Ovis aries: one gene and its partner. The protein of the gene in region 1 purifies or fractionates together with the protein of each later gene. This does not show direct contact. Links are inferred from orthologs where the notes say so. Each region holds a gene or a part of one and is shown on either strand. Other genes may lie near its edges. The genes, in order: PDGFRB and RASA1.

Evidence for each region.
Region 2: the proteins of PDGFRB (region 1) and RASA1 purify together in Homo sapiens (co-immunoprecipitation; 5 studies listed by BioGRID and IntAct, with this or other methods). This does not show direct contact. The link is inferred for Ovis aries from reciprocal best matches to the Homo sapiens genes PDGFRB and RASA1.

The regions. Positions count from the first base shown.
Region 1 is NC_056058.1:59,232,834-59,248,043, reverse strand, and holds the end of PDGFRB (platelet-derived growth factor receptor beta), read left to right. Parts: intron 1-761; coding exon 762-894; intron 895-1,420; coding exon 1,421-1,525; intron 1,526-1,863; coding exon 1,864-1,974; intron 1,975-2,981; coding exon 2,982-3,141; intron 3,142-4,156; coding exon 4,157-4,317; intron 4,318-4,851; coding exon 4,852-4,970; intron 4,971-5,208; coding exon 5,209-5,331; intron 5,332-6,053; coding exon 6,054-6,165; intron 6,166-6,575; coding exon 6,576-6,675; intron 6,676-7,228; coding exon 7,229-7,334; intron 7,335-8,207; coding exon 8,208-8,440; intron 8,441-9,743; coding exon 9,744-9,921; 3' UTR 9,922-11,790; downstream 11,791-15,210. UniProt on the Homo sapiens protein: Tyrosine-protein kinase that acts as a cell-surface receptor for homodimeric PDGFB and PDGFD and for heterodimers formed by PDGFA and PDGFB, and plays an essential role in the regulation of embryonic development, cell proliferation, survival, differentiation, chemotaxis and migration.
Region 2 is NC_056058.1:84,547,163-84,563,116, forward strand, and holds the start of RASA1 (ras GTPase-activating protein 1), read left to right. Parts: upstream 1-6,138; 5' UTR 6,139-6,333; coding exon 6,334-6,875; intron 6,876-15,954. UniProt on the Homo sapiens protein: Inhibitory regulator of the Ras-cyclic AMP pathway. Stimulates the GTPase of normal but not oncogenic Ras p21; this stimulation may be further increased in the presence of NCK1.

The DNA of each region.
Region 1 (15,210 bases):
AGCTTCCTCCAACCGCAGCAGCCTGGACCAACATGGGCCTGGTCCAGACCATCTGGAGTGCTCCGACTCTGCAGCGCACCCCTCTCCCCACCCAGCATCCTGCTCGGGCATCATGTCTGTCCATCCTAGCCACAGGGCACGAGACCTTCAAGGTGGACTGCCTGGGTTCCAGCATTCTTCCAGCTCTCACCCACACTAGGATTCTAGTGAAAGGCATTCTAATCCTGCTAATCTGTCATTTCAGTGGTCTGTACTGCCGTTTCACCATTCCATGACTCTACCGCAGGATTGCTGCACTCGATTCTGTCATTCTAAGATTCCAGTCCTGTGATTCCAGCATCCTATGATTTCAACAGTCTAAGGTTAAATCTTTCTGAGATTCCCACTGTGACTGAGCCGGCATGGGGAGGGGCCATCCACATCCAGTGGAGTGTCCCTGCCTCATGTCACTTTCCAAGGCTACGTGCTCCTCTATTCCCATCGGAGGAGCAACTGAGGTTCTGGGAGAAGCTGGTGAGGAGGTCCTGATAAGCCTGTGGCTCAGCTGTCAGCTGCTTCTCTGCCACCTCCTCCTTACATCTGTTCCCATGGAGCCCGTAAAGGCCTTGGCTCTATTGATAACTTGCTGTATGACTTCAGATCTACTGTATGACTTCAGATAATCTTTTCTGGGCTTCAGTTTTTCTTGTCTCATCTGTTTCATAAGGAGCTGGACCTAGTGGTCCGCCTCTGATGATCCATCCCTGATCTTGATCCTGCAGAAGCCACGCTATGAAATCCGATGGAAAGTGATTGAATCTGTGAGCTCTGATGGCCATGAGTACATCTATGTGGACCCTATGCAGCTGCCCTACGACTCCACCTGGGAGCTGCCACGGGACCAGCTTGTGCTCGGTCAGTCCAAGGAGGCCTCAAGTGGCAGTCTGGGGACTTGAGGCGGGTGGGAACACTGTCTGACATCTGGGCCCAGCCTTGCCATGATTGGCTTGAGACCTAGGGCTGATGTCTTGCCTTCTGTGGCCCTCAAGCCCTACCCTCTGTACAATGAGGGTAAGATGATCCCCCTTGAGACCCTCTAGCCTTTATGTTCTATGATCCAGAGATGCTGTGAGATGAAACCCCTTTGTGGAGAAAGAGGAAGTGCCAGGCCTGTGCTTAGTGCAGCTGGAGAGGCTGAGAGGGTACGGAGAACCTGTGCTCCCCTCTCAGGGAGAGGTTTTCCAGGGACTAAAGAGGGACCAGAAAGTAGGCAGGACTTAGGTGAGACCAGGAAGGACCGCAAAGCACTGTGATTTTAGGAGCCTTCATGGGAGAAACACCTACGTCCAGGGTGGCTTGAGGGATGTCTAACCTGACCTCAGAGAGCATGCATGTTGAGATTCTTCATGAGTCAGCAGCTGAGAGATCATCTCTTTCCCAGGACGCACGCTGGGCTCCGGGGCCTTTGGGCAGGTGGTGGAGGCCACAGCTCATGGCCTGAGCCATTCTCAGGCTACCATGAAAGTGGCCGTGAAGATGCTGAAATGTGAGTCCTGGGAGCCCGCCCCTCCCTCCCCTCACCCCCAACTCCCCCGCACATTCAGGCACTCCCAGAGCAGGCCTTGTGCTGATTCTCAGGGTGCAGAAGTACAGGCATACCACAGCCAGCAGCACTCCCAATTCTCCTTTGGTAAAGAGGCTTCCTCACCCTGCCCCCTCCTCCAGGAGCCTCCCCGCCCACCCTTTTTCCTTTCTCCTGCCCGTGGGTCCTCACCACCCTTGACCACCTGGGTCTAACAGCACAGACTGGGGCAGAGGAGCCAGAATAGGCTCCAGTGAGGCCTCCGTGACTGGGCCAGGCCTGAGGTCCTCTCTCTCCCTCAGCCACAGCCCGCAGCAGTGAGAAGCAAGCCCTCATGTCGGAGCTGAAGATCATGAGTCACCTTGGGCCCCACCTGAACGTGGTGAACCTGCTGGGGGCCTGCACTAAAGGAGGTACAACCCCCTCCCAGAGGACTCTGGGAAAGTGCCAGTGGCCAAGGCCTGGCCCCTCCCTGCCCCCTCCTCAGTCCAAGGACAACAGGACATTCTCACTGGAGGGCCCGTGCCTACCCAGTCCAGTGCCCTCACTTCACAGAGCCAGACGTGTGTCGGATTAGCAAGTCACAAAACCACATCACCTCTAAGACCAAAGCACTCCCCAGGTCACCATTCCTAGCAGTTTCCAAATCAAGGAGCCCTCTGACGTTTAAAGCTTGTTGCAGTCGATTTTAAAAAGGGTGATACGTAACAGCTCATGAGACACTGAAACGAGCCCTTCCTCTGGAGACCACCAACCGGCTTGCTCACTGAGAGCTGCTTTCACTCGGATCGTAGAATAAGTAAGGTCTCTCCAGCTGAGTGTGTTTATTTGAAACTCTGATTACACGTTAGGCCACACAAAAAAAGTTATCACTACTTTCAGCTGCTTATTGTGAGATTTGGGATTTTCCTCAGTATTGTGCAACCAAAACAAAATACAGAAGTACACTATGTGCGTAGACTAATTTTTGTCTGCAGTGGTCACACATTTCAAAATGTTTGATTCCACCAGTATCTTCAAACTGCCAAGTCAATGCATTGTGCTTGAATTTAAACAGTAACCTGGTAATAATCAGTTGCCTTTGCTTTATATCCTGGGCTCAAATTTCAGCTTCATCAACAACAGCTAGCCCTATGCTTGCAGTTTGCCAAGCACTGAGCTGAGCTAACCAAAGGCATTATCTCATGAATACTCATGAGGTACTTTGGGGTGGGTATTACTAGCCCCATTTGACAGATGAGGATAGTAAGGCTCAGGGAGACTGCCTTGCTCACAGCCAGGAAAATCCAGGTTTGCCTGGGGCCTGAGCCTGTTTGCTGTTCCACATGCAGCCTGTCGTTAGCCTCATGGCTCTGACCGGAAGCCTGAGCCCACCCCGACCCCCTGCCCTGGGACTCTTCCTGAGCCTGTCCTTCTGCAGGGCCCATCTACATCATCACCGAGTACTGCCGTTATGGCGACCTGGTGGACTACCTGCACCGCAACAAGCACACCTTCCTGCAGCGCTGCTCGGACAAGCGCCGCCCGCCCAGCGCCGAGCTCTACAGCAACGCCCTGCCTGTCGGGCTCCCTTTGCCTAGGTACCGCAGGGAGGCTGGGGCCTGAGTTGGTGGGGAGCCCTGAGGAGCACCTGCTTACCCCTCCTTGTCCAGGACAGGAAGTTGAGGCCAGGGTGGGTGGAGCCGCTCCTAGAGCCAGCCTGCAGCCTGGCCCCCTCGGCCACCCTAGAGGTGGGCATGATAATAACAGTGGTGATGATGGTAGCTGCCACCTGCTGGTTGTAGGAGGTGTGCCAGGCCCTGTACTGAGCACTCTGCAGGTGTGATCCCCTTCGACCTCTCACCAAACACACATCATGGTCTCTCCATCAACGGGAAACACCTGGGGCCCTCCTGCTCCCGGTTGACCCTCACTGTAGCTCCACTCTGCTCCTCCCTTGCTGCAGCCTCCCCCCTCTTCCACACAGCAGTCTCTCCAGTGCCTCCAGGGTAGCTATACTCTCTCCTCTGCTTGTCCAAAAATGACATTTCTTTTCTCTCTTGCTCATTGCAAAAGCAATACTAGTCTATTTCAGAGGCAAGAGTCAGTTAAGAATAGCATTAAAAGATGTTAAAATTCATCCATGTTCTCTTCAACATTTTGATTGGTTTCCTTCCAGTGTTTTTTCTCCCCCTAGAGACACATGTATACTTTGTCCCACAGCTCTCTGGGGAGCTGATGCTGTAGGCAGAGGCATTAAGGTGATTCACTGCTCACTTGCAGGGCCTCATGGCTGGACAGCGTCCTTCCTGTGACCCTTGTCTTTGGGTACTGGAATCGCCCTGGGCATGAGTTCTCTGAGGACACAACCTAGATCTTATCGTCATCTTGGCAGCCCCAGTGCCCAGCTCAGGATGGGTCTGAGGTTGGCTGGAAGGGCTGACTACATGGTCGTTCATATTGTGACAAATTGTGAGTGGAGGATGCGTGAGTGAGGGAGAGAAGAAATGCATAAGTGATGGGGCCTTTCTGGCCCCAGTGTTGAGCAAAGGGGCAGGAGGGGGATGGACGGGGAGAGCCTGTGCTACTGTCTCTGTGATGCTCCTCTGCCCCCAGCCACGTGTCACTGCCTGGGGAGAGCGATGGTGGCTACATGGACATGAGCAAGGACGAGTCGGTGGACTATGTGCCCATGCTGGACATGAAAGGAGATGTCAAATACGCAGACATCGAGTCCTCCAACTACATGGCTCCTTATGATAACTACGTCCCCTCTGGTGGGTGCACACAGGGTCCTCACACCTGTGTTGTCATACATTCTTTCCAAACCCTTTCCTCCACCCAGTCTGGCAACAACCCTGCCAGGAAGGTGGCCTTGTGCCCATTTCATAGATGCAGAAACTGAGGCCTGCCACCTGCCCAAAGCTGCTGTGTGGTGGAACCCCAATATCAACCCCTGTTTTTGGGTCAAGAAATGTACACACAGCCTTCAGGGAGGAGAGGAGCTTGGATTGGAGGGGAAGCCTGACCTGCTGGGGCCTCAGGAAACAGTGGTCTGCTCAGAGCAGGCCCCAGGCTGACTAGTGCCCTGAGGAGCAGGCAGGCCAGGCTGAGCAAAAGTGGCCCAGGGCTAATGCCAAAAGTTTTTTCTGGAAGTTGGAGAATTTAAGAGATATTTGGAAATTGTTTTCCTTTTGGGGCAGCCTTAGAGGATCAGGAGTCTCCTCTCTGGGCCATCCAGCCTCTACGAGCCAGAGGCCAGGGTTCTGCGGCCCTGGGGAGACTCAAAATGTCCTTCTGCTCTTCTCTAGCTCCTGAGAGGACTTGCCGGGTGACTTTGATCAACGAGTCCCCAGTGCTTAGCTACACGGATCTTGTGGGCTTCAGCTACCAGGTGGCCAATGGCATGGAGTTCCTGGCCTCTAAGAATGTATGTGTAGTCACAGTGAGCAGAGTGGGGTCCTGGGGAGGGGGGTCCCCCAACCAGCCAGAGTCCTCCAAGTACGTGACCCGTACAGCGTCCCTCTGGTGGCTGAAGATGGCCAATGCCCCACACCTGGTGGCCCCTCATACCTGACCAGCCATGTATTTTTCATAAAGCCCTTGACCTGGAGAGCCTTTCCCCACAATTGCCCCACAGTCTCAGCTCCCATCCCCTCTGTCCCCAGTGCGTCCACCGAGACCTGGCAGCCAGGAACGTGCTCATCTGTGAGGGCAAGCTGGTCAAGATCTGCGACTTTGGCCTGGCTCGTGACATCATGCGGGACTCGAACTACATCTCCAAGGGCAGCGTGAGTGCCTCCACTGCCATCCTGGTTCACGTGGCTTTGGCTCACGGGAAGTCAGGACAGGGTCCTCATGGGCTCTGCCTGCCTGGCCCTGTGTGTAGGGACAGGAAGGGGAGCCACCAGCTGTGCATGGGGAGGGGGTGGGGGTGACAAGCCCAGGCCTGTAGGGTGGGCCAAGGGCTCAGATTTTCTGGGCATGGCAGAGGCCAAGGGGCCAGCTATAAAGGTTCTGGGGGAATGGATAGGGAGCAGGCCAAATGTGCTTCTCAGCAGTGATGGCAGGCAGAGGAAGAAGCCCAGATGAGTGAGTGGCAGGTGGTACTCGGATAAAAGGTGACCATCCTGCCTCGCACTCATGTCCCCACTTTCCACACAGGGACAGAACTGGAGGGACACTAGGCTCCAGAGATGGAAGGCAGCTAGGATGAGAGCTGGGGGACACCTGGGCACATCCCTGCCTCCCCCCGCAGGGGCCTCTGCTGCAGTCAGGAAAGGGATAGGGGTTGCTGTGTCCCCAGCTTGTGAGAAGAGAAACTCAGCCTCCTGATCCTCTGACTAACCAGCTTTGGGATGGGTGTGGGAACCGTGTATCGGCAGTGATGGGCCGTGGGGGACCAGGAAGTGAGAAACAGCTGAGGTGGGGACTGCCGGGCCTCCTCCTGCCTCCCAGGTGCAGAGTGGGGCTCAGCCCCTCCTTGCACTCAGCAGCCTCTGCCCTCCCACAGACCTTCCTGCCTCTGAAGTGGATGGCCCCTGAGAGCATCTTCAACAGCCTCTACACTACCCTGAGTGACGTATGGTCCTTCGGCATCCTGCTCTGGGAGATCTTCACGCTGGGTATGCTCCCGTCATGCTCCAGTGCTCACCCGTACACAGCACAGCGTCCACCCTGAGCGCCCACACCTCCATCCTAGGGGGGCAGTGGGACAGGACTCAGAAGCTCTGCTCTTTTCTTGTTACTGTGTAACCTCGGCAAGTGTCTTGCCAGCTGGATCTCCTTACCTCTGCATCTCAGTATAGATGGACTTGGACAGTGACGTCAGTAAGCCTGGCTCTGGTGCTCTCTGTTCTGATTCCGGGGAGGGATTCAGTCTGTGTCCAGGGCCTGTGAGGGAGCCCACATTTCCCAGCGCCACGATGCCCTCACTGATGCCTGGGCTGGTGTTCCTCTCCCTGTCCTGTAAGAGAGGGTTTCTGCCACTTTCCAGCACCTTGAGCCTGTGTCTCTTGTCTCTGCTCCCTAACAGGTGGCACCCCATACCCAGAGCTGCCCATGAACGAGCAGTTCTACAATGCCATCAAGAGGGGCTACCGCATGGCCCAGCCTGCCCATGCCTCTGACGAAATGTGAGTGGAGCATCTGGGAAGATATTTGGGGGTGCAGACAATACATATCCAACTTTACCAGCTTAAGACAAAAATAGATTAGCTCAGAGATGTAGAAAAATTAGGTTTAGACAGACCCAGTTGTTCACAGACATCATCCACATCTCTTGCTCTCCCCTGGGGCTCTGTTCTCCTTCATGTTGGCCTTACTTTCAGGCTGGCACCATCCAAATGGTTTTGGCCTGGCTGCTTTCACCATAGTTGCAGCAGAAGGCCCAGCAGTGGCTGTCAAGGGCTCTGCTGGGGTCACAGGCCCATCTAGAACCAGCCACTGAGCTGAGGGGATGAACCCCTACTGGCTAGACCCAGTCGTGTGCTCACCAAGGTGCGGCCAACCCCATGGAAGCACTGAACTGAAGGTGAAGGAGGGGCTTCTCAAGGGAACATGCCAGAGCAGTAAAGGGGAGACCCCTTCCCTCCTCCCCTCCCACCTCTTTTTATTTATTCCTCACTTTGTCCTGGGAGGCGGCAGGCCCTGAGCCAGAGGCCCTGACCCCTCTGCCCCTTTCCCCAGCTACGAGATCATGCAGAAGTGCTGGGAAGAGAAGTTCGAGATCCGGCCCCCCTTCTCCCAGCTGGTGCTGCTTCTCGAGAGACTGCTGGGTGAGGGCTACAAAAAGGTATGCTGAGACAGGGGGGTGGGGGGGGGGTGTGGGGCTGGGGACTGGAGAGCACCAGTCCAGAAATAGACACAGGGTACAAGGCTCACTGTGACGCACTGGTGTTTGGGGACAATCCTTTCCCCTCTCTGGGCCTGTTTCCCTGTTGGTGCCAATAAGGGATGTGAGTGTAGTTTATTTTAGCAGTACAGAATTTCATAAAGTGAAATCCTACTTGGAAGCTGATTAATTTAAACTGGAGGCAGGGGCCTATAGCCCCCTCATCCTGCATCCTTCCACTTGCCTTTGCAACCAGACCAAACCCTGGGCCTCCGTCCCAAGTCTGAACAACCCCGGTGCAATGGCTACTAAGGGCCTGACTGCCTAGACCCCGTGGCAGGCTCGTACATGGCAGCTGTTGCCAGCGGGGCCTTAAAACCCTCCCCTGCCCCACTGCAAAGCTAGTGCGAGGGGGATGCATGTACCCTTTGTCCAGACACAGCCCTTTCCCTCAGTCCATTCCTCAGCCCACTCCGAGCCACATCTGGTTATGTGTCCAGGACCAGGGGTGAGGGAAACAGGCCCCAGCAAAGGAGGCTGTGGCAGGCAGAGAGCCCATGCCTGTCCCCTGAAGCAGGGGAGAGTTAGGGTCACGGGTGCTGGTCTGAGTACTGACCCCTCCCCAGGTGACCCTCAGCTCACCTTGTCTGGTGAGAGGCCAGGGAGGAGGGTAAATTAGTGGCTTTGGGCAACTCTCCTTCCTTTCTGAGCACCAGGGACCTTATTTACATAATGCTGGAGGGGCTGGCTCAGAATCTACCTGTTAGATGATCCCTAAAGTCATTTCTGGTCTGACCCTCCCTTTGTCTCGAATTCTTCCTGCCCCCTGAGCAGAAGTACCAGCAGGTGGATGAGGAGTTTCTGAGGAGCGACCACCCAGCCATCCTTCGGTCCCAAGCCCGCTTGCCTGGCTTCAGTGGCCTCCGATCTCCTCTGGACACCAGCTCCGTCCTCTATACTGCTGTGCAGCCCAACGAGGGGGACAATGACTACATCATCCCCCTACCTGACCCCAAACCCGAGGTTGCTGATGAGGGCCCACTGGAGGGTTCCCCCAGCCTTGCCAGGTAGCTATTCCTACTTGCAGCCCAAAGCAGTAGTGTACATACTGTGTGTGTGCACACGTGTGTGTGTGTGTCTTTGTATGTGTGTGTGTGTCATTCTGTATCTTCATGCCATCAGACTTGGCTTAGCAGTGAATTACCTCAGCTGAGTACTTATTCCTGCCAATTGAATAGCAAAAAGAATGGAACTCATTTGACCTTTGATGACCTTAGGTGGAAATGGCAGGCTGGTAAGAGAAAGAATGGCCTGGGACACATTTGCAAAGTATCTGTTTGGTTTAAAGGAACCTCCACAGCCATCTACTCTGTCCCCTCTCTCGGCTGTGACTTAGCCCTAAGGAGAGAAAAGGAAAATCTAATTTGCATCCCTAACACCACATGTATTATTCTGTGGTGATCCCCAACCCTGTGATCTGGCCTTCAGCACCATGCGCTGAGGACCCCAGGGAGCATGGAACAGGGAGACAGAGGTGTCTACAGAAGTTCAGGCCAAAATTCAGACTGGGGAGAAGGTTCATGCTTTTCTTTTGCCTTGGGATGTGAAGTTACAGCATGAGGGGAGGGTTTTGGAGGAAGGCCAGCTATCGCCTGGGCTAGATGTTCCGCATGTGGCCAGACCTACACCCAAAACAAGATCCACCCTGTGGCGAAATGGCTGGGGCTGCAAACTGGGTTCCAGCTGTATCTCTGCCACTCGCTGCAATGAGACCCGGCCAGGTACCTTTGCTGTGAGCCCATCTCTCTACATGTACTAGGAGCACACACAGGACTTAGAAGGCCCTCCCCACCCTGTTTGAGAAGCTAATATTCCAAGGCTCCAAGCAGCCAGTGTACAGAGGAGTTCAGCTGAGTTCAGACAGCTTGGAGTGTGAATGCTGGGGCTGCTCTGAGCCTTCAGACCAGCTGCTTCTCCTCTCTGAACCTCAGATGCCTCGTCTGCAAAATGAAAACAGTAGGAGTACTTCAATTTGGAGGTTGTTATGGGGACTGAACGAGGTCATTATGCGTTCAGGCATGTGGGAGATGGAGACTGATGAGTGAGCAATGGACTTTGGAGTCAGCTAGATCTGCTCTAAGTCCCCACTCCTATACTTAGCCACTGTGTGATGCAGGGCAATGACATAACCTCTCTGAGCTGCACTTTCCTCACGACGCCTGCCTCGCGTAATCTCTACAAGAATTTTAGTGAGCTAAAGTGTGTAAGGCACATGCAGCCAGCTCAGGTAGATAGAAGGCTCTATGTTAATGCTGTTCTTTCTCTGAGGTTCCCTCCAGCCTCTTACTCACTCGCCCTCCCCGCCTCTAGCTCCACCCTGAATGAAGTCAACACCTCCTCTACCATCTCCTGTGACAGCCCTCTGGAACCCCAAGAGGAGCCAGAGCCAGAGCTGCAGCCCACCTCCCACGTGGATCCAGAGCCCAAGTGGCCACCGGATTCCAGCTGCCCCGGGCCTCGGGCCGAGGCGGAGGACAGCTTCCTGTAGGGGCTGGCCCCCACCCTGCACTGCCCTACCCGAAGCTCCCCTCTACCTCCCAGCACCCTGCACCGCCTGGCCGGGCCTGGCCTCCCATCAGCCAGGCTGCTCCTGTCGGCTGTCCCTTTCCAGAAGGCTTCTGCCCCTGGCACATCATACCCAATCCCTGGGGCTGGCTTAGGAGGCGAGAGAACTGGAGGAGCCGTGACCAGTCCTCTGCCTCTGGAGCACCCATGTGACTCTGAGCCAGGGTTCTCCCAGGGGACTCTGTTTCCCCATCTGTAAGATGGGAATGATGGGCTTGGCAACCCATAGTCTGGGATTCTCACCCTGCCTGACAGATGTGGTGGATGGAACTCTCAAGTTTCGTGAAGTGGTGGATTAACTCTTTTCTGTTCAGCCAGCTGCCTCTCAAGGAGCTGCAGCTCTCTCCTTGCACTTTTTTCTCCAAGAGCTGGGGAAGGGACCCTAGCATCTCCGGCTCCTGGCCAAGCTAGGGCCTGGCCTTGGACAATGTTGCCTCATCCAGAAGCCACCTGCCCTCAGTGCCAGTCTTTGCTTTCCCAGGCCCAAGCTGGTCTGGGGCCTTCTGTGCTTAATTAATGCTGGGGGCTGAGCCAAGTACAGGATACCCTGGCCTGTAGCCCCAGGCCCAGGCACTTAGGGTGCACCTCCCCATAACATGCCATGTCCATGTCTTCCTGGCCCCATGGGTCCAGGGATCTCCTTTCTTATCACTGCCAGTCTTACTCCACTCACCAGAGTCTCCAGGGCCAGATGAGCCCCACATCTCTGATGCATGTGTTGACATGCTTGCAACAGGTGCCTGCACGTGTGGACCAGTATGGCACTGGACCTGCTAAGAGACCTTGGAGGATTCCTTCACCCTCTCTGGGGCTGTTTTCCCTGTTGAAAAATGAGCAATTGGACTCACTGACTTCTGGTACCCTGCCAGCACTAACATTCTAGAGTATTCCAGGGGTTGTACACTTGCCCAGATGAAGCAAAGATAAACACTCCACACCTCTATCCTGGGATCAGCTGGGACCTGGAGAGGCTCCAATCACACATCGCACACTTCCGGGCATTCAGGAACTGGGCCCCTTCCCCAGTCCCCCGGCAGGTCCCAGAGGGCAGCTGCCCAGGCCTTGGCTCTGAGTGATAGCCATGGTCCTGGAAAGCCCCCAGAAGCTGCCCAGAAGGGATGAGGGGGAGACCATGGGATCCCTTTCATGACCCACATGGCCTCTGGCTGGAGCTGTCCTGGGCAAAGGAAGCAGGCAGCAAATCAGAGTGCCTGGCGCAGCCCGCCACTCCAGCACCTGCTGTCCAGGGCTGTGCCGCAGACCTGACGGGCAGTGAAAGGACAAGATGCCTTGGAGGGGGTACCCGAGGAGGGGGTGCAAGGGGTGGGTACTTGGGGGTTGCCTTCCCGCCTTCCAGCTGCCGCAGCCTGAGGAAGGAACTGTGAAGATGGCTTTGTCTGCCCAGGGGTGCTCACCTCATGCCTCTGTCAGCCCAGTGGGCAGTGGTGGGGCCTAGGCAGTGAGGGCTGTGGCCAGGACCACTGGCAGGGGAAGGGCTGGATGGGGTGGGGGTGGGTGGGTGAGGGAAGGTCAGTGACTCTGGGAACCAGCCAGCCTCCTGTGTCGGTTGGCACCTCCCTGCCCTGGGACCCCCAAAGCCTGGTCAAGGAGAGGGTATGGGTTCTCACTACGGTACCAAAGATGTAATCACCTAGGTTTACAAGTATTTTTAGGACTCACGTTAACACACATTTATATGACAGAAGTGCTATTTTGTACGCCATCAAATTTTCCTCCCTGTGTACTTTTTTAAGAGAAAGATTTTAATATTAAACCTGGTGCTTCTCACTCACAGACTTTGTGGTATCCCACAGGTGTGGGTCCCTGGGCCCAGGAGGAGGCAGGAGTAGGGTGGGGCAGCTGGGCTCACCCAGCCGTAGGATCCCCACATGACCCCTCAGCTCAAGCCCACTCCCATTTGTGAGATGGGGTTTTTCACACTCCCACCCACCACTCCCTGGTAGTTGGGGGACCTGGACCTCAGGCTTTGGTTTTCCAAGTTGTGGAAGAAGAAGGCTTTTCTGGCACCATAGTGCTTGGTTCTGGGTGGGGGCCCTGAGTCCCACTGCCACCCCCACCCTACCCAGCCATGTGCTTTGGCTTTGGCCATTAAGCCAGCCACCCTCCCTGCAGCCTGTGGCCCAGATCCAAGCTGGTGTGGCTCATAAGAAGCATTCGCTACAGCCCAGATCCCAGGCCCTGGTGACTGGTGGTCAGGTCTCAGGTACGGGCAGGGAGACAGACGGTGTGCCCGAGAGGGCAGAGAGGAGGAAGGAAAGAGGAGAAGAAGCAGCAAGGAAGATGTGGGTGAGTGTGGCCACAGCACGGCCAGGGGAGGGAAGCAGGGGCCTAGCTGTGGCTCCGAGAGCAGAGTCTGCCAGGCTGGGAGAGGGGTGCAGACTCACCCCTCATGGCTGTGGCAGCTTAGTGGTGTGTGGGGCTGTTGTGAGCCAGGCGTCTTGGTGTCCACTGGCCAGCTCAGTACTGACTGTAGGCTCTAAGCAGAGCCCAGGTACAGACAGCCCTGTCTGGGAGACGCGGCAGCAGAATGGGGCCAGGGCAATAGAGCTGCCGGGACAGAGGGCAGAGCACACAGATCCTGGCCCTCCTGCCTGTGTCCTTTGGGACGGGTCACCTGAGGGGCAGCAGGGTTCTGCCTGAGACCTGTCACACCTCACTGTGTGGCCTTGGCCATTCCTTGCTCTCTCTGAGCTGGGGATGGGGCATCCCAGTTTGCTTCTGGGGACTAGCACATCCTTTTGGAACCACAGGCCTCCCTGGACTGCCTCCAGAAGTCTGGGGCCGTGGCTGCCAGTGGGGAGAGGAACAGAGACATGAGGCAGCTCTGACTCACCAGCCCAGCCGCCAACTCAGGGGCAGCTGAGCCATCCCCAGGGAAACCCCGCTGCCTCACCTCCCCTGCTGCAGGGCCTGGGGGTCCTGGCCTTGGAGCCCATGACCCCATCTCCCCTGGCTGTGGTAGGAGATGAATAAGCCACACCAGGATCTGCCCTGTAAAGAGAATAATCAGCCACATTCCAGATGGGGATTATCCTTGTCTTTGGGAAAGCCTCCATCTGGTCAGGGGACCTTGATCCCTTCACCTCAGGCCTGCTCCTTATGGGGTCTTGGGTGGGTTAGACCAGAAGTAGATGCAGCTAAGACACCACAGAGAGAAGGGAGGAAGACAGTGCTGGTGCCGCTTACTGAAGCGTTCCTCTGTGCCAGGGATGTCCTGTTGCTGCACACATCTTCCCGTTTGCCTTCACATCCACCCTGTGAACCTAGGGCTGCTTCTGTCCCCATATTACAAAGGGGATACCAGTTCAGGAGAGGTTGTGGTGACTTGCCCACGGTTGTCAGGTTGGTACAGCAGGGAGGTGATGGGCGCCTGGGCCAGGCCGAACCCCAGGTCAGCTCTCAGGAGGGCAAAGGGAAGCTTGGGTCCCAGCCCCTGTCTCCTGACTCCAGACCTCTGGGGCTGTGAGTCCCCAAGAGAAAGTGCTGGGGGGAAGAAAGGAGCTAAGAGACTCTGAGGGCTAGGTGTATGTAATAAACAAGCATCTGATGGGCTGGGAGCCCACACACCCCTGTGCAGAGGGGATGTGGGAGCGGGAGGATGGGGGAAACTGTAGCTCCTGTGGCTCTCCCATCCCCACCACTCAGACGGGCCCATGGGAACTGGTGAGCTGGAATTTTCCTCCCAGACGATGAGCCACTTGACTATACAATTCTTCCACCACCCTATTCACAGCCAGGGTCCTTGTTCCTGGAAAAAGAGAGAAAGACTGAAAGCTTTTGCTTCCAGGGCCCTGACCCTCAGCTGACAAGGGGTCCCACAGCACCCATTAATGCTCCCTCTTTGAATTAGAGCCCTGTCTCCACAAGCTCTCTTCTATTTCAGTTTCTCATTCAGCTTCATAAACATTTAAAATTGCTTTCATAGATGCAATTATATAATATATGCCTGCATTAACAAGTATCCATTAGCAGATGTATGACAGAAAGAGACCCATGAGACCATGGCTGTCTCGGTCCCTCATCATTTAGAGTGGGTTCCTCTCTGTAAGCCGATGTGATGTTCACAATAAAGCTAGGCAACAAGCCAAGGGAAGACCCAGATGAAAAAGCTAAGGCTCAGAGCCATGAAGTGCTGGTCCAAGGTCACATTGGGAGGCTCATTCCTGCCAGTCTGGTGTCTTTGCTATTGCCTTCCTCAGGGAGATTTGGAGTCCAGTTTCTGGATGCAGAGGGGATAGCAGGCTGAGAAGCCATTGGATCAGGTTGCCAGCTGCCCATTCAGGGAGAGGGTCTTGGAATTCCCTGAGTCGGCTCCTCCTTAAAGGGAGCTTCTGGGGCTTTTTTTGGGCTGTGATCGGTTCTCACAGCTCAGAATACCATTAGCCATGACTGCTTTGGAGCCTGATGAAGGGGCCTAGGCCTGGGGCAGGGAGTTGGGCCTTCTCAGGATCCAGCAGGGACTCGGGGACATCACAGAAACCAGACTATCTCCCTGTGGTCCCCTCCAACTGGCTCAGCCTCTGCCCTTCTCTCTGGGCACATTATGGCCTGTGTGTCTGCTCTTTCCAATGGCTTCTTTCCACCTGACAGGGTTGGGGCAGTTCCAGTCTCTTTCTGGTTTAGGGTTTTGTGGGTAATCACTGCGAGGAACTAGAAAGTCACAAACACAGGGAAGTAACAAAGCTTCTGGAAAATCACAGAATTCTCAAGAGTTGTTGTTCCCCTTCTGAAGGTACAAGATGGCAACTTCCATGTCTAAAAATTTTTCTTCTCCATTACTGATCTTCTTGAAGCATACTATGATCTTGTCTCTATTTGCTCAGACACCTTCGATGGCTCCCCATGGCCCAACAAAGTCCAGACATCCTCATGTGGTCGTGAAGTTCCCTCCTGACCTGGCTTCAGCGTCTCTCGCCTCTCCCATGCCTGTGCTCCAAGGCCTGTCTGTCCCTGTGTGGGCCCCAAGCTGTCCAACCTTCCAACAGTGCACAAGAGCTCCCTTCTCTCCACATCCTCGCCAACACTTGCTATTGCTTGTCTTTCTGACAGTAGCCATTCTAACAGCTGCGAGGTGATTTCTCACTGTGGTTTTGATTTGATTTCCCTGATGATTAATGATGTTGTACATCTTTTCATAGGCCTGTTGGTAATTTGCAAAAATGTCCATTCCTCTGTCCGTGTTTTAATTGGA
Region 2 (15,954 bases), about 25 Mb from region 1:
AGTACTTAAAACTCTCACCTTATTTTATCTATAATTATCTCAAAGTGCTATCAAACCCTTTCATTGTATAGTTATTTTGAAGCCTATTAAAAGGGCTTACGTATTTGATGTACTAAATTTAGAGAGAATTGGGTTACTGGGAGCTTCTCCAGTAAATCCAAGAAAGCAACCAGAATTAAGAGACTCTGCAAAATTCTATGGCACCCCACTCCAGTACTCTTGCCTGGAAAATCCCATGGATGGAGGAGCCTGGTAGGCTGCAGTCCATGGGGTCGCTAAGAGTCGGACATGACTGAGCGACTTCACTTTCACTTTTCACTTTCATGCATTGGAGAAGGAAATGGCAACCCACTCCAGTGTTCCTGCCTGGAGAATCCCAGGTACAGGGGAGCCTGGTGGGCTGCCATCTATGGGGTCGCACAGAGTTGGACACGACTGAAGCAACTTAGCAGCAGCAGCAGCAGGAGCAGCAGTAAAATTCGTAGGTGAAAGGCCAAAGGTTAGCTCGATTCCATGACTCTGTTTCAGGTGGTATTTAAACGGTTTCAGGTGTTCCAGGTAGTAGTTAAATTGCTGTCACAGAGGCACAGAATAGCAGTTAATCATGAGGAAAATGTGAACTGGAGCCTCACACCACCCTGAGTCCCCCGTTCCCTTGCCCTAAAAGCATTCCGCTTCCTTTTTTCTTTTACTTCTAGCATAACGCATTATCATGTAAAGGAACCCAGGTGCAGAAAGGAAACACAGAGGAATCTAGTAGATAAAGAAAAACAAACTAGAAATGATGCAGGAGAAAAATTTCTGATATAGAATAATGAAAGACCAAAAGATAAAAAAACAAATAAAAAGTGAATACATTTTTCTACTCTTTCAAGAGAAGGGATATTTATTCTCAATCCAATTGATCTAAGTACCTTTAACCTTGAAAAGTGAAAGTGAAAGTCGCTCAATCCTGTCTGACTCTCTGCGACCCCTTGAACTATACAGTCCATGGAATTCTCCTGGCCAGAATACTAGAGTGGTTAGCCTATCCCTTCTTCAAGGGATCTTCTCGACCCAGGAATTGAACTGGGATCTCCTGCTTTGAAGGTGGATTCTTTACCAGCTGAGCTACCAGGGAAGCTCCACCTTTAACCATATATAAGCTTAAATGTTTTAAGAGGGCTCTAATAATTTTCTTTAAAGTTTTACAGCCTCAGTTTGTACTATTTTAAAATTTCTCCATGGTGTTTATAATTTTCTTCAAGCTTAGTTAATTATTATATCACATACTGTAATCTCTGAAGAGCTATTTTTACTTTTTCATCAAAATAATTTCCATTAACCTGTATCTCCTCAACGTTATTTGCTTAAAGGTCTTCCTAGTAAGGAAATTTCTGCTCTTGAAAATTTTAAGATGAGGTCAACAAATGCACTAAGGACATTAGAGGTTAGGAGTGAAATTTTGAGGTCAATGAAACCTTTTGACATTATTTACAGAAACTTGGAAGCCTATTTGTTTAGCTGAGTGTGTACTAGGGCATGAAACACAATTATGCTCTTTATCACTTCTTGCTTAGTATTCCCCTCAGAAATGTTCTCTAAAATTGTATTACTGAGTCAGTTATCTTTTCACATATTGAAGCATCAAATCTGTAACATATTTTAAGAGTGTATTCTATTCATATTTGAGTTACCAGTAAAATCAGAATGAGTCAAAATCATTTTTTAGAAAATTAAGTGTTCAGATTCTTTTTACCCATAAGTCTTTGCCCAGCATTTCTGATTATTTGTTGTTGTTGCTCAGTTGCTAAGTCATGTATGACTCTGGGAACCCATAACTACAGCATGCCAGGCTTTCCTGTCCTTCACCATCTCCCAGAGCTTGCTCAAACTCATGTCCATTGAGTCAGTGATGCCATCCAGCCATCTCATCCTCTGTCACCTTCTTCTGCTCTTGCCCTCAAATCTTTCTGAACATCAGGGTCTTTTCCAATGCGTTTGCTCTTCGCATTAAGTGGCCAGAGTATCAGAGCTTGTTTCAGCATCAGTCCTTCCAATGAATATTCAGGGTTGATTTTCTTTAGGATTGACTGATTGGATCTCCTTGCTGTCTAAGGGACTCTCAAGTCTTCTCCAGTCACAGTTCAAAAGCATCGATTCTTCAGTGCTCAGCCTTCTGTATGGTCCAACTCGCACATCCATACATGACTACTAAAAAGCCATAACTTTGACTATACAGACTTTTGTCAGCAAAGAGATATCTGTGCTGCTTAATACTCTGTCTAGGTTCATCATAGCTTTCCTTCCAAGGAGCAAGAGTCTCTGAATTTCATGGCTGCAGTCACCATTTCCATTGATTTTGGAACTCAAGAAAATCTGTTACTGTTTCCATTTCCCCCCCATCTATTTGCCATCTATTATTTATTCTTCATGAAATGCTGTTTAATTCTATATCTGGAGTAACTTTTCTCAAATAACAGATATCAAAGATTGTTTTACTAAGAGTAAAAGCTATTTGGAATTTTCCTCTTTTTGTATATTGTTCAGTTTTTCAGTGCCTCCCTGTTTAATATTATCTGTGAATTTAATTAGCAGACTGTTTACTTCCCTTTGTTAACTAATGTTACATAACACCACACCTAACATCAGTCCCTGCAGAAACCTTGTAATGCCTCTCTCCAAATAAATATTTCATTAAAAAAAAAATGTTCTTCAGTTTTTGATTTATGAAACTTCAAGGAGTACATTATCTATGTCAGGAAATTCAGGGACTTGGAAGAAAAGGAAAGGGAAGCACAGAGGTAGAAATTGAGGGAGAAATTAGCAGAAAAAAATTAGACTGTAGAGACTATAAATGAAAGATGGAGAGGTCAAGGTGAATAGAAAAAGAAAAAAGGCAATAGAAAAAAAATAAAGAAGGCAAAACATTTAGCCTTTTTTGGAAAAAAATAAGTCACTGAAGACAGAAGAGAGTACACAAAGGGAGTACACAAAGAATAATAAGGATCAAGGCCTAGACCCATCCAATAAACAGAATGTGTAAAACATTTGAAAACATCTCATCAGAAATGTGTGGTAATCTCTTTAGATGGAAAGGACAACAGTTCTCTAAGGCTGAATATAATGTAAGACAGTGGTATTAGGTTGATATATACAGACAGAGTAGATCTCTCCCACTGGTTGAGCAACTGATGTCTAACGATAGGAGCTGATCTAATTTAGTATTTTTAAAAAGAATGGAAACCTGTTCAAAGCAATTGACAAAGATGCCTAGCATTAGGTTAGGCAGTAGGTTAGACTACAAGTTGTGTCTGCAGTGTAGGAACTACAAAATAGTATACGTCGGTATGTAATTGGAGTTGGACTGCATTAAATATTGACCTTTAGATGCTAAAGAATTTCCAGAAAAGGGAATGGATGTAATTCTGCAAATTAGTGAGTCTGACCTGGAATCTCAGGCAGAATAAATATGCTGTGTGTTAACCCAGAGCTGGTGATTACCTGCCAGTCCAACATCTTATGTTCAGAGGCCAACAATGGTGTTGCATACCTTTTTCTTGTTTAGCATATTGTATTGGTTCTTAAACATAAATGTGCAAATTTGGAGAATTCATTAAAACAAGAGTACTCCATTTTTCTGATTCAAGAGGGTCTGCGGTGGGGGTCTAAGAATTTGCATGTCTAACAAGTTCCTGGGATATTGCTGGTCTGAGATTATTACTGTGATTAGTCAGTCCTTCACTCTCTCTACTGCCTTAAGAGGCAAGAATGAAGGAGTCCTTAGGACTACCACTAATTGCATTGTCATTGATTTGGCAACCAGGCTTATGGAAATAGACATTTCTAAAGAAAAACATCTTGTGTGCACCCTGCCACCTCCTTCAATTGTCTTTTCCTTTTTTCCTTGGCCTCTTGTTACACAGCCCCTTTCCATCCTCAATGTGCTTCTTGTGGATTTCACTATTACCCTTAGTAGAGAAAATATTAATCTCAAAGATCAATATTAAATGTCTATTTAATGTGAAATTCCTCCTAGGATAATGTAAAATAAAAGCAATATATATGAATCCAAAAGGTCTAATCACAGATACTGGAATTTCAAAAAAAAAGAAAGGAAATGATTCCTCCCCACCTACCTTTACACATTTGTTGTTGAGATGCTCAGTTGTGTCCCACTCTTTTGCGACTCCATGGACTGTACCCGGCCAGGTTCTTCTGTCCATGTGATGTCCACGTGTTCTTCCCTCCTCCCAGACAAAAACACTGGAATAGGTTGCAGTTTTCTTCTCCGGATCTTCCCCAACCAGCGATCGAACCTCCGTCTCTGTCATTGCAAGCGGATTCTTTACAACTGAGCTACCAGGGGAGCACACTTTTATACATATTCCACTATAAAAACCAAAACCCACTGTCTCTGGATATGTAAAGGGTGAAATTTCATTTATTATTTTTGAGGATACATAATTGTAACTGACGCGTTGGCTCCTCCTTGACATTTGCTGGTTGAAACTGCTCTGTACCACACGTGTACCGTGGAGTGTGCCCTGACGTGTTTTGTGTTTTGCGCAAAAAAGTGCAGATTAGCGTTGTCTGGGGACCTCTCCTCTCCACACCTTATTATACCCAACAGACTTGCAGTGGCAAAGGTAGTGTATGTGGGTGTGAAAGAAAGGGAAAAGAAAGAAAAATAGAATACAGAGAGAGTCGGAGAAGACAACAAAACGCGTACAGTCACAGAAATCCGACTCACAACCACTGTTTCTTCTAAAATTCTTAGCCCTCCCCATATGTCTCCCCAGTTATCCATTTCGTTCTGAGTCTTCAGTTCAGCTGCTCAGTCGTGTCTGACTCTTTGCGACCCCCATGAATCGCAGCACGCCAGGCCTCCCTGTCTATCACCAACTACGGAGTTAACCCAAACTCTTGTCCATCGAGCCGGTGATGCCATCCAGCCATCTCATCCTCTGTCGTCTCCTTCTCCTCTTGCCCCCAATCCCTCCCAGCATCAGGGTCTTTTCCAATGAGTGAACTCTTCGCATGAGTCTTAGAATCTATTAAAAAAATTTTCATTTTATTTTTTTTAGCTTGAAATAGTCATATAGTCATTTATATAATGAAAAGAGAACGGAAACACTAACAGGACTCTCTCGGACCTCCAGGCAGGTACCCCTCCAACTGCCACCCCCGCGGGCCTCGGCCGTCGGGTTTCTGCGCCGCCGGCCACGGCGTCCGCTCTACCGGTCGGGAAGCGAGGAACTGGCTTTGCCTCATCTCCCCTTCTCTTTCCCTCCCTCTTCAAGAAACCCTCCTCGTCGCTCACAGGTTTTTACCCCGCTGAGCGGCCGCGTGCCGGGGACCCACTCCTCCCCTCCGCCGCCTAACCCGTCTCTCAGACAAAGCCCAGTCAGGCAGGCGCGCGCCACCGGCCACACCGACCGGCGAGGCGGCCGCGCCGCCACGCGCTTCCCCACTGGCTCGGGACTGCTAGCTTGGCCGCGCCTCCACGCGCTCCCCTCGGCTCGGGACAGCGAGCGCTGCCGCACACCGCGCGTCCCCGCCGCTTCCTTCCCTCCAGAGTCTTCCTTTCCCTCCTCCAGACCCAGCACGCCACACCCCCACCCCAACCCACCGCCTCCGCGCGGGGAGTGCGCCTGCGCAGAAGCTGCCCTCTCGCCCCTCCTTCCCCGCCCTTCCTTCCCTCCGCCCCTCCTCCCGCGCCCCGCCTTCCTTTCTCTCGTCGATGTCACTTAGCGCTCCAGGTTGGGAGCCTTTAGGTTGATTTCCCCGCTACCCCGCCCCCCTTCCTCTTTTTCTCCCCACCCCTCCCGCCTCAGCCCGGTGGAGGATGAGGCGGCCGCAGTGGCCCCAGCCCCTGCAGCGGCACCGGCGGTGGTTGCGGTGGGGGTGGCCGGAACTGGGGTGGTGAAGAAGCGGTGGCGGCGGCGGCGGCTGAGGGAGCAGCAGCCGCCTCAAGCCGCTTTCCCCCCCGCCTCGCTTCCCTTCCTCTTTAGTGCAGCCAGGAAGTTTTTCGCTTCTGTGCATGTGTGTGTGTGTGTGAGTGTGCGCGCGCGCGCGAGTGTGGGTGTGGAAGGTGAAGGTTTGGGCGGCGTTTGTGCAGGCGTTGGGGTTTTTTGCCCACTTCTCTTCCCGTAACCCGGGGAGCTCCCGAACCTGGGCTGTGGCCCGGAGAGGGGGCGCGGCGGCAGCGGGCTCTCTCCTTTTGTTGTTGTTTCCTCCGCCCGGGGAGCTGAAGAGGGGACGCGCCTGGGTGGGGCGGCTCGGAGCCCGGGCCTGGTGGCCCCTGGGGGCTCCCGGGCGGGCAGGGTAGGGCCGCGTAAAGCGGGCTTCAACATGATGGCGGCCGAGGCCGGCGGTGAGGAGGGCGGCCCGGTCACCGCCGGGGCAGCGGGAGGCGGCGCGGCCGCGGCCTCGGGTGCCTACCCGGCGGTGTGTCGGGTGAAGATCCCCGCGGCCCTGCCCGTGGCCGCCGCCGCCCCCTTTCCTGGGCTGGCGGAGGCCGGCGTGGCCGCGACTCTGGGTGGCGGAGCCGCTCTGGGGTCAGGCTTCCTGGGACCTGGGTCTGTGGCGGGGGCCCCGGGGGGAGCCGGACTGTCAGCCGGAGGCGCTGCCGCCGGCGTGGCTGGTGTCGCCGCCGCCGCCGCCGCCGCCGCCGCCGGACCCGGCGGGGAGATGGCTGAAGCCAAAGGGACCACTTCGTTGCCCACTGAGACCTTCGGGGCCGGCGGCGGATTCCCTCCTCTGCCGCCGCCTCCTCCTCAGTTGCCCCCTTTGGGCGCTGGCCTGGGAACAGTGGACGAAGGTGACTCTCTGGATGGACCAGAATACGAGGAGGAAGAGGTGGCCATCCCGCTGACCGCTCCTCCGACTAACCAGTAAGTCAAGACCGGCGTTTTGGGGGAAGCTGACTCCTTGGAAAGAAATAGGAAAAACAGGTCTAGTTCTTTTCAGCTGTGACTCGTAGTGCTTTCAGCTGTGACTCGTGTTTTCAGCTGTGACTCGTTCAGAAAAAGTTCTGAAGCTCAAGGTTCCGTGCGTACGGATTTAATTTGATCACTCATCCTCCCTACAGGCACACTCCCTGGCGTCTTGGTATATTTATTGCTCCTCTGGGAAGATGTAAAGTTTTCAAGATGGGAAGCATGGGAAAATGTGTATCCAGGGAGAACCGGATATGGTTCTGTCCCTTGCAGATTGAGGTGGCGTCCTGGGATTCAGCTGAGTTTGCAGCTACCGAGGCAGTCGTAGTCTGTATTAACCTGGTTGCATTCCCTGTTGAAGCTAGACAATTAGTGAGAAGCTTTGAATATTTGAGTGAATATCGTGGTAGTATTGTTTGAAACGTGCCTTGGTCGGATTGCTTTGTTTTTGTTGCCCTGCAATTCCCGGCTTCTGGCTGTTGAAAGCACTGCGATGCAGAAAAGACTTTGGATTGCTTTTGAGAACGTGGGTCAGCGAGAAAGGAAAGTTCTGTTAATTACTGGTGTGGTTAAGGGCCTGTACTCCCACAGTATTTAACATGTGCAGTAGAATTCCCGTTTACTAATATGCTAGTATAATTCTTCTGTAAGTTGAAACTTTGTAAGTACAGTATTGAACTAGAATTAATATTGTGCTTCCCTTCACCTTTTGTTGGTGGCAAATACAGTATTCTATTTGAAAATTAATTTTGACAGTCTTCTGCAGAATATACAGGACAAATGACTTACATATATATATAGTACTTTCTCCCTTGTTCTCTTCATAAGTGAACTTAGGTTTGGATCTTGAGAGGAACATGTTGATGGGCAGTAGGCAAAACTTGTTTTATAGATCCCTCATATCTGTCTTAATTGTCCTTTAGAATTTTGACAACCTTGGTGAGGTATCAGAGGAAGAAAGATTTGATTCCTGTGTTGACCATCACTCTAGACAGTTGAAGGTGTTTTTTGTGTCTGTTTTTTTTTTTTCTTTTCTTTTTTTGGATAAGCTTCTTTAGAAAATTTAGAAAGGACTTAACAAATTAGGGCATTTTTGACTTAAGGCTACATACATCTTTTGATGGAAAAGTAAAGTTAATCTTATGTCAGCCATGGGACAGGGGAGTTTTATTCTTTTTATATTGTTCATCATGAGTTCAATTTTTTGTCTAATTTAATTTCTGCTTATCATTTCTTATCTACATATTGCAGACTTCTCTGAAGGTGTTCTGAAAGTATTAAAAATTCAAAATTTACAGCTCTGTTTACACATCTTCAAGCCTTTTTCAAAACTACTTAAGTATTAAGGGCCCTGTGGTTATGATAAAGTTCAGCTTTTCATAATGAAAGAATATAGTCTTATGTTAGTTCTTAACTAAATTGAATAAGGCATATTTAGTGTGTTGCAGTTCTAAATTTTTTTAAAAATAGAATTTATTTGTTAGAGCAGTTTTAGGTTCACCGTAGAAGTGAACAGAAAACACAGTGTTCCAATTAAATTTTTAATAAATATAAATGAGAACCTAAGAAAAATTATTCTTGTGAGAAATCCATTGTAAGATTTTCATCATTTGTGTTTGGGAATAAAAATATTATTTGTGTAACTCTGTATATGAGAATTGTTCATGTTCTAAAAAGTATCCTCCATTTCACTATAGTTTTTAAAAGTTGCCAACGAGAAGTACAAATTTCCCTCTCTTCTTTATCTTAGATATCAACCCAGACTTACTGGAGGCAATACAGTGTAGGGGTTAAGGTGCAAAATCTGAAGTTAGACAAGATTTGGGTTGGAATCCTGACTCTGCTACTTACTAGCTGTATGATCTTGCAAAGGTCAGGTTCCCCATCTGTAAAATGGGGTAATAATGCTATCGCCCTCATATGATACTTTTTAAGGTTAATGAGAAATCCCTGAATGTATTCAGCACAGTAACTCATACGTAGTAAGTGTTCAGTAAATTGGCTCAAATAGTACATAATTTTATCATTAAATTGCTTGTCAATTCTATAGGAACTCCCATGCTAATAGCTATTTGAGAGAATGTTTTGAATTCCACGGGTCTGTCTACCATGATTAATTATATCAAAATTTTTATTTTAACTTTATAAAGGCTTTCAGCAGGTGAAGCAGGTTTAGAGATGGAATTCAAATGTTTTCTCTAAATTCCTAATTTTAAATAAACGGAAAAGCCTTAGAGACTTAGTTAAATAATGTCAAACCTTTCATTAAAGTATTGAAGAATTTTTTTTGGCTAAATTAATATGATTACCAGTGACTGGTCACTTTAGTTATTGATTACATGGTATTAAGGAGGTTCGAGTTCGCAGTGGTTTGTTAGATAGACTAGGGCTCCCGAGTCACAGAGTTTCAACAGTGTGTCCAGGTTGTTCGGTGCTGTTGGTCACAAAAGAATCAAGTGACAATATGTAGATACACTAGTGCAAATATAATAACACTATTATTTTGTATCTTGTTTCTCTGTGTGCATGGTGAATCATTAGCCTCATGTTTATCACTGAGCGTTTTCATTCATTTGGTTAAGGCCAGAAGTTTAAGTTTGTATAATTGTAACTATTACATTTATTTAAATACTTTTTTTTGCAAAATTTAGGAAAAAATTTTTAAAAGAAAAATATTTTCTGCATACATTTTTTATGTAGAAAATGTCCTGTACCTAAAACAGCTAATATATATTTTTTTTTCCCAAGAGAGAAAAGTTAAAGGAGTTTTTCACTGATACTTCGTTTACTGTAATGGAGCTTTTTTCCGTGGTCCTCCTCTTCTCTTACTTTCTTCCTCAGAGGGGTGACAGTAAAGTAGTATAGTTCCTCTAGTCCACCTTCTGTTATGTATAGAGATTTTAAACTATGAGCCTGCAGTAGCAGGAGCGTCTTGGGCTGAATCCAGTTGAGAGATACACATTGCTTGCTCTTAGTGTATTTGGAGCATTGAGTGGATTAGTTGCCACTTTTAAAAACAGCAAAACTTCATGTTTAAGAAGTCTTGATTTCTAGCATCACTTGAGACTTGGCTTTACCTGGTTGCTGTTAGTGCTTGAGAATAGTTTTCTGTAGCTGAGTAGTGATTGCCCGACTTAAGTTCTGAGCTCTGCAGTTAACTGTGGCCTCCACCAGGCCTGCTTCGCCTTTGATATTATTTGTGTGGTGTCTGGCTAACTAGATCTTACCCTGGACCTAAGATGCAAGTTTTCTCAAGCCTGAAGGTGGAAGAAAAAAGAAATAAGGAATGTAAATAATACCTTTCGTTTCCTTAAAAATCATCATACTGTTTGTATAAAAATATAAATTATTCTTAAGTCAAATCATTGTTAAATGTTAGTACTAAGACATAGTGTTCATCAACTTCGTCATTGATTGCATTATAACTCTGGGTGAGTCATAATTTCTTAATAAAAGCGGGAGTGAGAATTGCAGAGATTAGGTGTGGACATAGTGACCACAGAACCTGAACATGACCAGATATTTATCTGAGTAGGAGAGCAGTGTAGTAGGGGCTTAATTTAAGAGAGACAGCAATGAGTAAGATACTCCTTTTCTTCATGAGTCTCTCTTCCAAGAGAGTTTTCGATCTAGGAGAAAGTTAAATGGGCATCCCTCTTAGCTCAGTTGGTAAAGAATTTGCCTGCAATGCAGGAGACCCTGGTTGGATTCCTGGGTTGGGAAGAGCCACTGGAGAAGGGAAAGGCTACCCATTCCAGTGTTCTGGCCTGGAGAATTCCGTGGACTGTATATGCCATGGGGTCGCAAAGGGTCAGATACTATTGAGCAACTTTCACTTTCAGAAAATTAAGTAACTTCAATAGCTGAAGATAAATATCATGAGTAAAGTATGAGCACATGGTCATGGGGGTTAAAATAATATCTGTATAATTAGAATCAGTAAGGTTTTAGAGGAAAAATAGCAGGTGTGTTTTCAGTGCTGCTTAATTTATTCTGAACAAGAGGTAACTGATTCCTATAACCTTTGCCTAATGATTCTGTCAGGTAAAAAAGAATTACAAATTAATGAAGAAAATTTTTTAACCTTGAGTAAAGTGTGTGTCCTCAGTTCAGTCACTCAGTCATGTCCGCCTCTTTGCGACCAACCTCATGGACTGCAGTATATGAGACTTCCCTCTCCATCACCAACTCCCAGAGCTTGCTGAAACTCATGTCCGAGTTGGTGATGCCATCCAATCATCTCATCCTCTGTCGTCCTTTTCGCCTCCTACCTTCAATCTTTCCCAGCATCAGGGTCTTTTTCAGTGAGTCAGTTCTTCGAATCAGGTGGCCAGAGTGTTGGAGTTTCAGCTTCAGCATCAGTCCTTCCAATGAATATTCAGAACTGATTTCCTTTAGGATGGACTGGTTGGATCTCCTTGCAGTCCAAGGGACTTTCAAGAATCTTCTTCAACAACATGGATCAAAAGCATCAGTTTTTTGGCGCTCAGCTTTCCTTATGGTCCATATCTCACATCTGTACGTGACTACTGGGAAAACAATAGCCTTGGCTAGACAGACCTTTGTGGGCAAAGTTATGTTTCTGCTTTTTAATATGCTGTTTCGTTTTGTCATAGCTTTTCTTCCAAGGAGCAAACTTTTTTTTTAATTTGTTTATTTTAATTGGAGGCTAATTGCTTTACAATATTGTAGTGGTTTTTGCCATACATTGACATGAATCAGCCATGGGTGTACATGTGACCCCCATCCTGAACCCCCCTCCGACATCCGTCCCCATCCCATCACTCAGAGTTGTCCCAGTACACTGGCTTTGAGTGCCCTGTTTCATGCATTGAACTTGGATTGGTTATCTGTTTCCCATATGGTAATATACATGTTTCAATGCTATTCTCTCAAATCATTTCACCCTTGCCTTCTCCCGCAGAGTCCAAAAGTCTGTTCTTTACATCTGTGTCTCTTTTGCTGTCTCACATATAGGGTCATTGTTACCTTCTTTGTAAATTCCATATATATATGTATGTGTTAATATAGTGTATTGGTGTTTGTCTTTCTGACTTACTCCACTCTGTATAATAGGCTCCAGTTTCATCCATCTCATTAGAATTGATTCAAATGCATTCTTTTTGATAGCTGAGTAATATTCCATTGTGTATATGTACCACAGCTTTCTTATCCATTCATCTTTGATGGACATATAGGTTGCTTCCATGTCCTAGCTATGGTACACAGTGCTGCAGTGAACATTGGGGTACACATGTATCTTTCAGTTCTGGTTTCCTCAGTGTGTATGTCCAGCAGTGGGATTGCTGGGTCATAAGGCAGTTCTATTTCCAGTTTTTTAAGGAATCTCCACACTGTTCTCTGTAGTGGCTGTACTAGTTTGCATTCCCAACAGTGTAAGAGGGTTCCCTTTTCTCCACACCCTTTCCAGCATTTATTGTTTGTAGACTTTCTGATAGCAGCCATTCTGACTGGTGTGAGATGGTACCTCATTGTGGTTTTGATTTGCATTTCTTTGATAATGAGTGATGTTGAGAATCTTTTCATGTGTTTGTTAGCCATCTGTGTGTCGTCTTTGGAGAAATGTCTGTTTAGTTCTTTGGCCCATTTTTTGATAGGCTCATTTATTTTTCTAGTGTTGAGCTGCATGAGCTGCTCATATATTTTTGAGATTAATTCTTTGTCAGTTGCTTCATTTGCTATTGTTGTCTCCCATCCTGAAGGCTGTCTTTTCACCTTGCTTATAGTTTTCCTTTGTTGTGCAAAAGCTTTTAAGTTTAATTAGGTCCCAACTGTTTATTTTTGCTTTTTATTTCCATTACTCTAGGAGGTGGGTCATAGAGGATCCTGCTGTGATTTATGTCAGAGAGTGTTCTGCTTATGTTTTCCACTAGGAGTTTTATAGTTTCTGGTCTTACTTTAGATCTTTAATCCATTTTGAGTTTATTTTTGTGTACGGCATTAGAAAGTGTTCTAGTTTCATTCTTTTATAAGTGGTTGACCAGTTTTCCCAACACCAGTTTTTAAAGAGATTGTCTTTTCTCCATTGTATATTCTTGCCTCCTTTGTCAAAGATAAGGTGTCCATAGGTGCATGGATTTACCTCTGGGCTTTTAATTTTGTTCCATTGATCTATATTTCTGTCTTTGTGCCAGTACCATACTGTCTTGATGACTGTGGCTTTGTAGTATAATCTGAAGTCAGGCAGCCTGATTCCTCTAGTTCCATTCTTCTTTCTGAAGATTAGGAGCAAGCATCTTTTAATTTCATGGCTGCAGTCACTATCTGCAGTGATTTTGGAGCCCAAGAAAATAAATTCTGTTACAGTTTCCGTTGTTTCCCCATCTCTTTGCCATGAAGTGATGGGACCGGATGCCATAATCTTAATTGTTTGAATGTTGAGTTTTAAGCCAGTGTTTTCACTCTTTCACTTTCATCAAGAGGTTCTTTAGATCCTCTTCACTTTCTGCCATAAGGGTGGTGTCATCTGCATATCTGAGGTTATTGATATTTCTCCCGGCAATCTTGATTTCAGCTTGTGCTTCTTCCAGCCCAGCGTTTCTCATGATGTACTATGCATATAAGTTAAATAAGCAGGGTGACAATATACAGCCTTGACCTACTCCTTTCCCAATTTGGAACCAGTCCATTGTTCCATGTTCTGTTCTAACTGTTGCTTCTTGACCTGCATACAGATTTCTCAAGAGGCAGGTAAGGTGGTCTGGTATTCCCATCTCTTTAAGAACTTTTCCGTAGTTTGTTGTGATCCACACAGTCAAAGGCTTTGTCATAGTCAATAAAGCAGAAGTAGATGTTTTTCTGGAACTCTCCTACTTTTTTGATGATTGGCTTTAATATTGGGTAAAGTGATTCCTCTTACCTTTCAGTTTGGTTTTAGCTATTCTAAGACTTGTGTCTTCACATAAAAATTTTACAACAGGCTTGTTCATGTCTACAAAAACTTTGTTGAAAATTTCATAGAAATTGCATTAAACCTTTAGATCAGTTTCGGAAGAGTTGACATCTTTACTGTATTGACATGGTATGTCTCCATTTATGTAGTTCTTTTTTCTTCAATCAGCGTTCTGTAATTAATAGTATATCAGTCCTGTATTAATAGGCTTCTCAGGTGTAACTAGTGGTAAAGAACCCACCTGTCAGTGCAGGAGATGTAAGAGACCTGGGTTTGATCCCTGGTTCAGGAAGATCCCCTGGAGGAGGGCTTGACATCCCACTCCAGTACTCTTGCCTGGAGAGTCCCATGGACAGAGAAGCTTGGCAGGCTACAGTCCATTGGTTTGTACATAGTAGAACATGACTGAAGCAACTTAGTATGCATGCAATCCTATATTATACCTGTTTAATTTGTACTAAATTTTTTTGGTTTCTTTGAAGCAATTCTGTTAATATGACTGTGTTAAGTTTCTACATGTTTATTGCTAGCATATACAAATGTAGATTGATTTATGTATGTTGGTCTTGCACCTTTGACCTTGCTAAACTTATCTTTTAGTTCTAAGAGACTTTTTACAGATTCCATAGGATTTTCTACATCGAAAATCATGTCAACTGCAAATAGGGAGTTTTTTTTTTTTCTGATTTTTATGTTATTTCTTGTCATATACAGTGACTGGAAATTCTATACTGCTGAATGAGAGTGGTAAGAGCAGACATCCTTACTTTGTCCTTTGTCTTAGGTGGAAAGCATTTAAATGTTTTTTACCATCAAATATGATGTTAAATAGAGTGTATATATAGATACTCATAATTAAGTTGAGGTAGATCCATTCTGAAGGAGATCAGCGCTGGGATTTCTTTGGAAGGAATGATGCTAAAGCTGAAACTCCAGTACTTTGGCCACCTCATGAGAAGAGTTGACTCATTGGAAAAGACTCTGATGCTGGGAAGGATTGGGGGCAGGAGGAAAAGGGGATGACAGAGGATGAGATGGCTGGATGGCATCACTGACTCGATGGACTGAATCTGAGTCAACTCTGGGAGTTGGTGATGGACAGGGAAGCCTGGTGTGCTGCGATTCATGGGGTCGCAAAGAGTCGGACACGACTGAGAGACTGAACTGAACTGAGATTGCCTCTCTTCCTAGTTTACTCTGAGTTTTTAACCATGAGAGGGTGTTAGATATTTTCAAATTCTTTTTTGAGTCAATTTATGTGATCATATTATTTTTTTCTTTAGCATGTTGATGTGGTGGATTATACTGATTTTTTTTTTTAATATTGAACCAGCCTTGCATGCCTGGAATAAATCTCATTATAGTATGGTGTATGCTAAGCATTGCTGAACTCAGGTTGTTGGTATGTTGAGAATTTTTGTCTTAATGAGAGAAATTCTTCTCTAGTTTTTTTGTGATATCTTTGTCTTGCTTCATTATTTGAGTAATACTAGCCTCACAGAAGGAGAAGGCAATGGCACCCGACTCCAGTACTCTTGCCTGGAAAATCCCATGGACGGAGAAGCCTGGTGTAGGCTGCAGTCCATGAGGTCGCTAAGGGTCGGACATGACTGAGCTACTTCACTTTCACTTTTCACTTTCATGCATTGGAGAAGGAAATGGCAACCCACTCCAGTGTTCTTGCCTGGGGAATCCGGGGGATGGGGGAGCCTGGTGGGCTGCCGTCTATGGGGTTACACAGAGTCGGACATGACTGAAGCGACTTAGCAGCAGCAGCCTCATAGAATGGGGTAAGGACATGTTCCCTCTTCTGCTCTTTGGAAGAGTTTTTGATGTATTGGTATTAATATTTGGTAGAATTTTCAGTGAAAACATTTCAGCCTGGGACTTATTATTTCTTTTGGAGATTTAAAATTATGAATTCACTTTAAAATGGTTATATAAGTTATGTTTATTTTATTTTGGCAATATGTGCTTTGGGTCTTTTTTTTTTTAAGTTTCTTGAGGAGGAATTTAAGATTACTGATTTGAGACTTTTCCTGTTTCCCAAAGTAAGCATTTAATGCTGTGGCTTTCCCTCTTAACCTTTTTGGCTTTGCATATTCTGTATCTTTTTATATG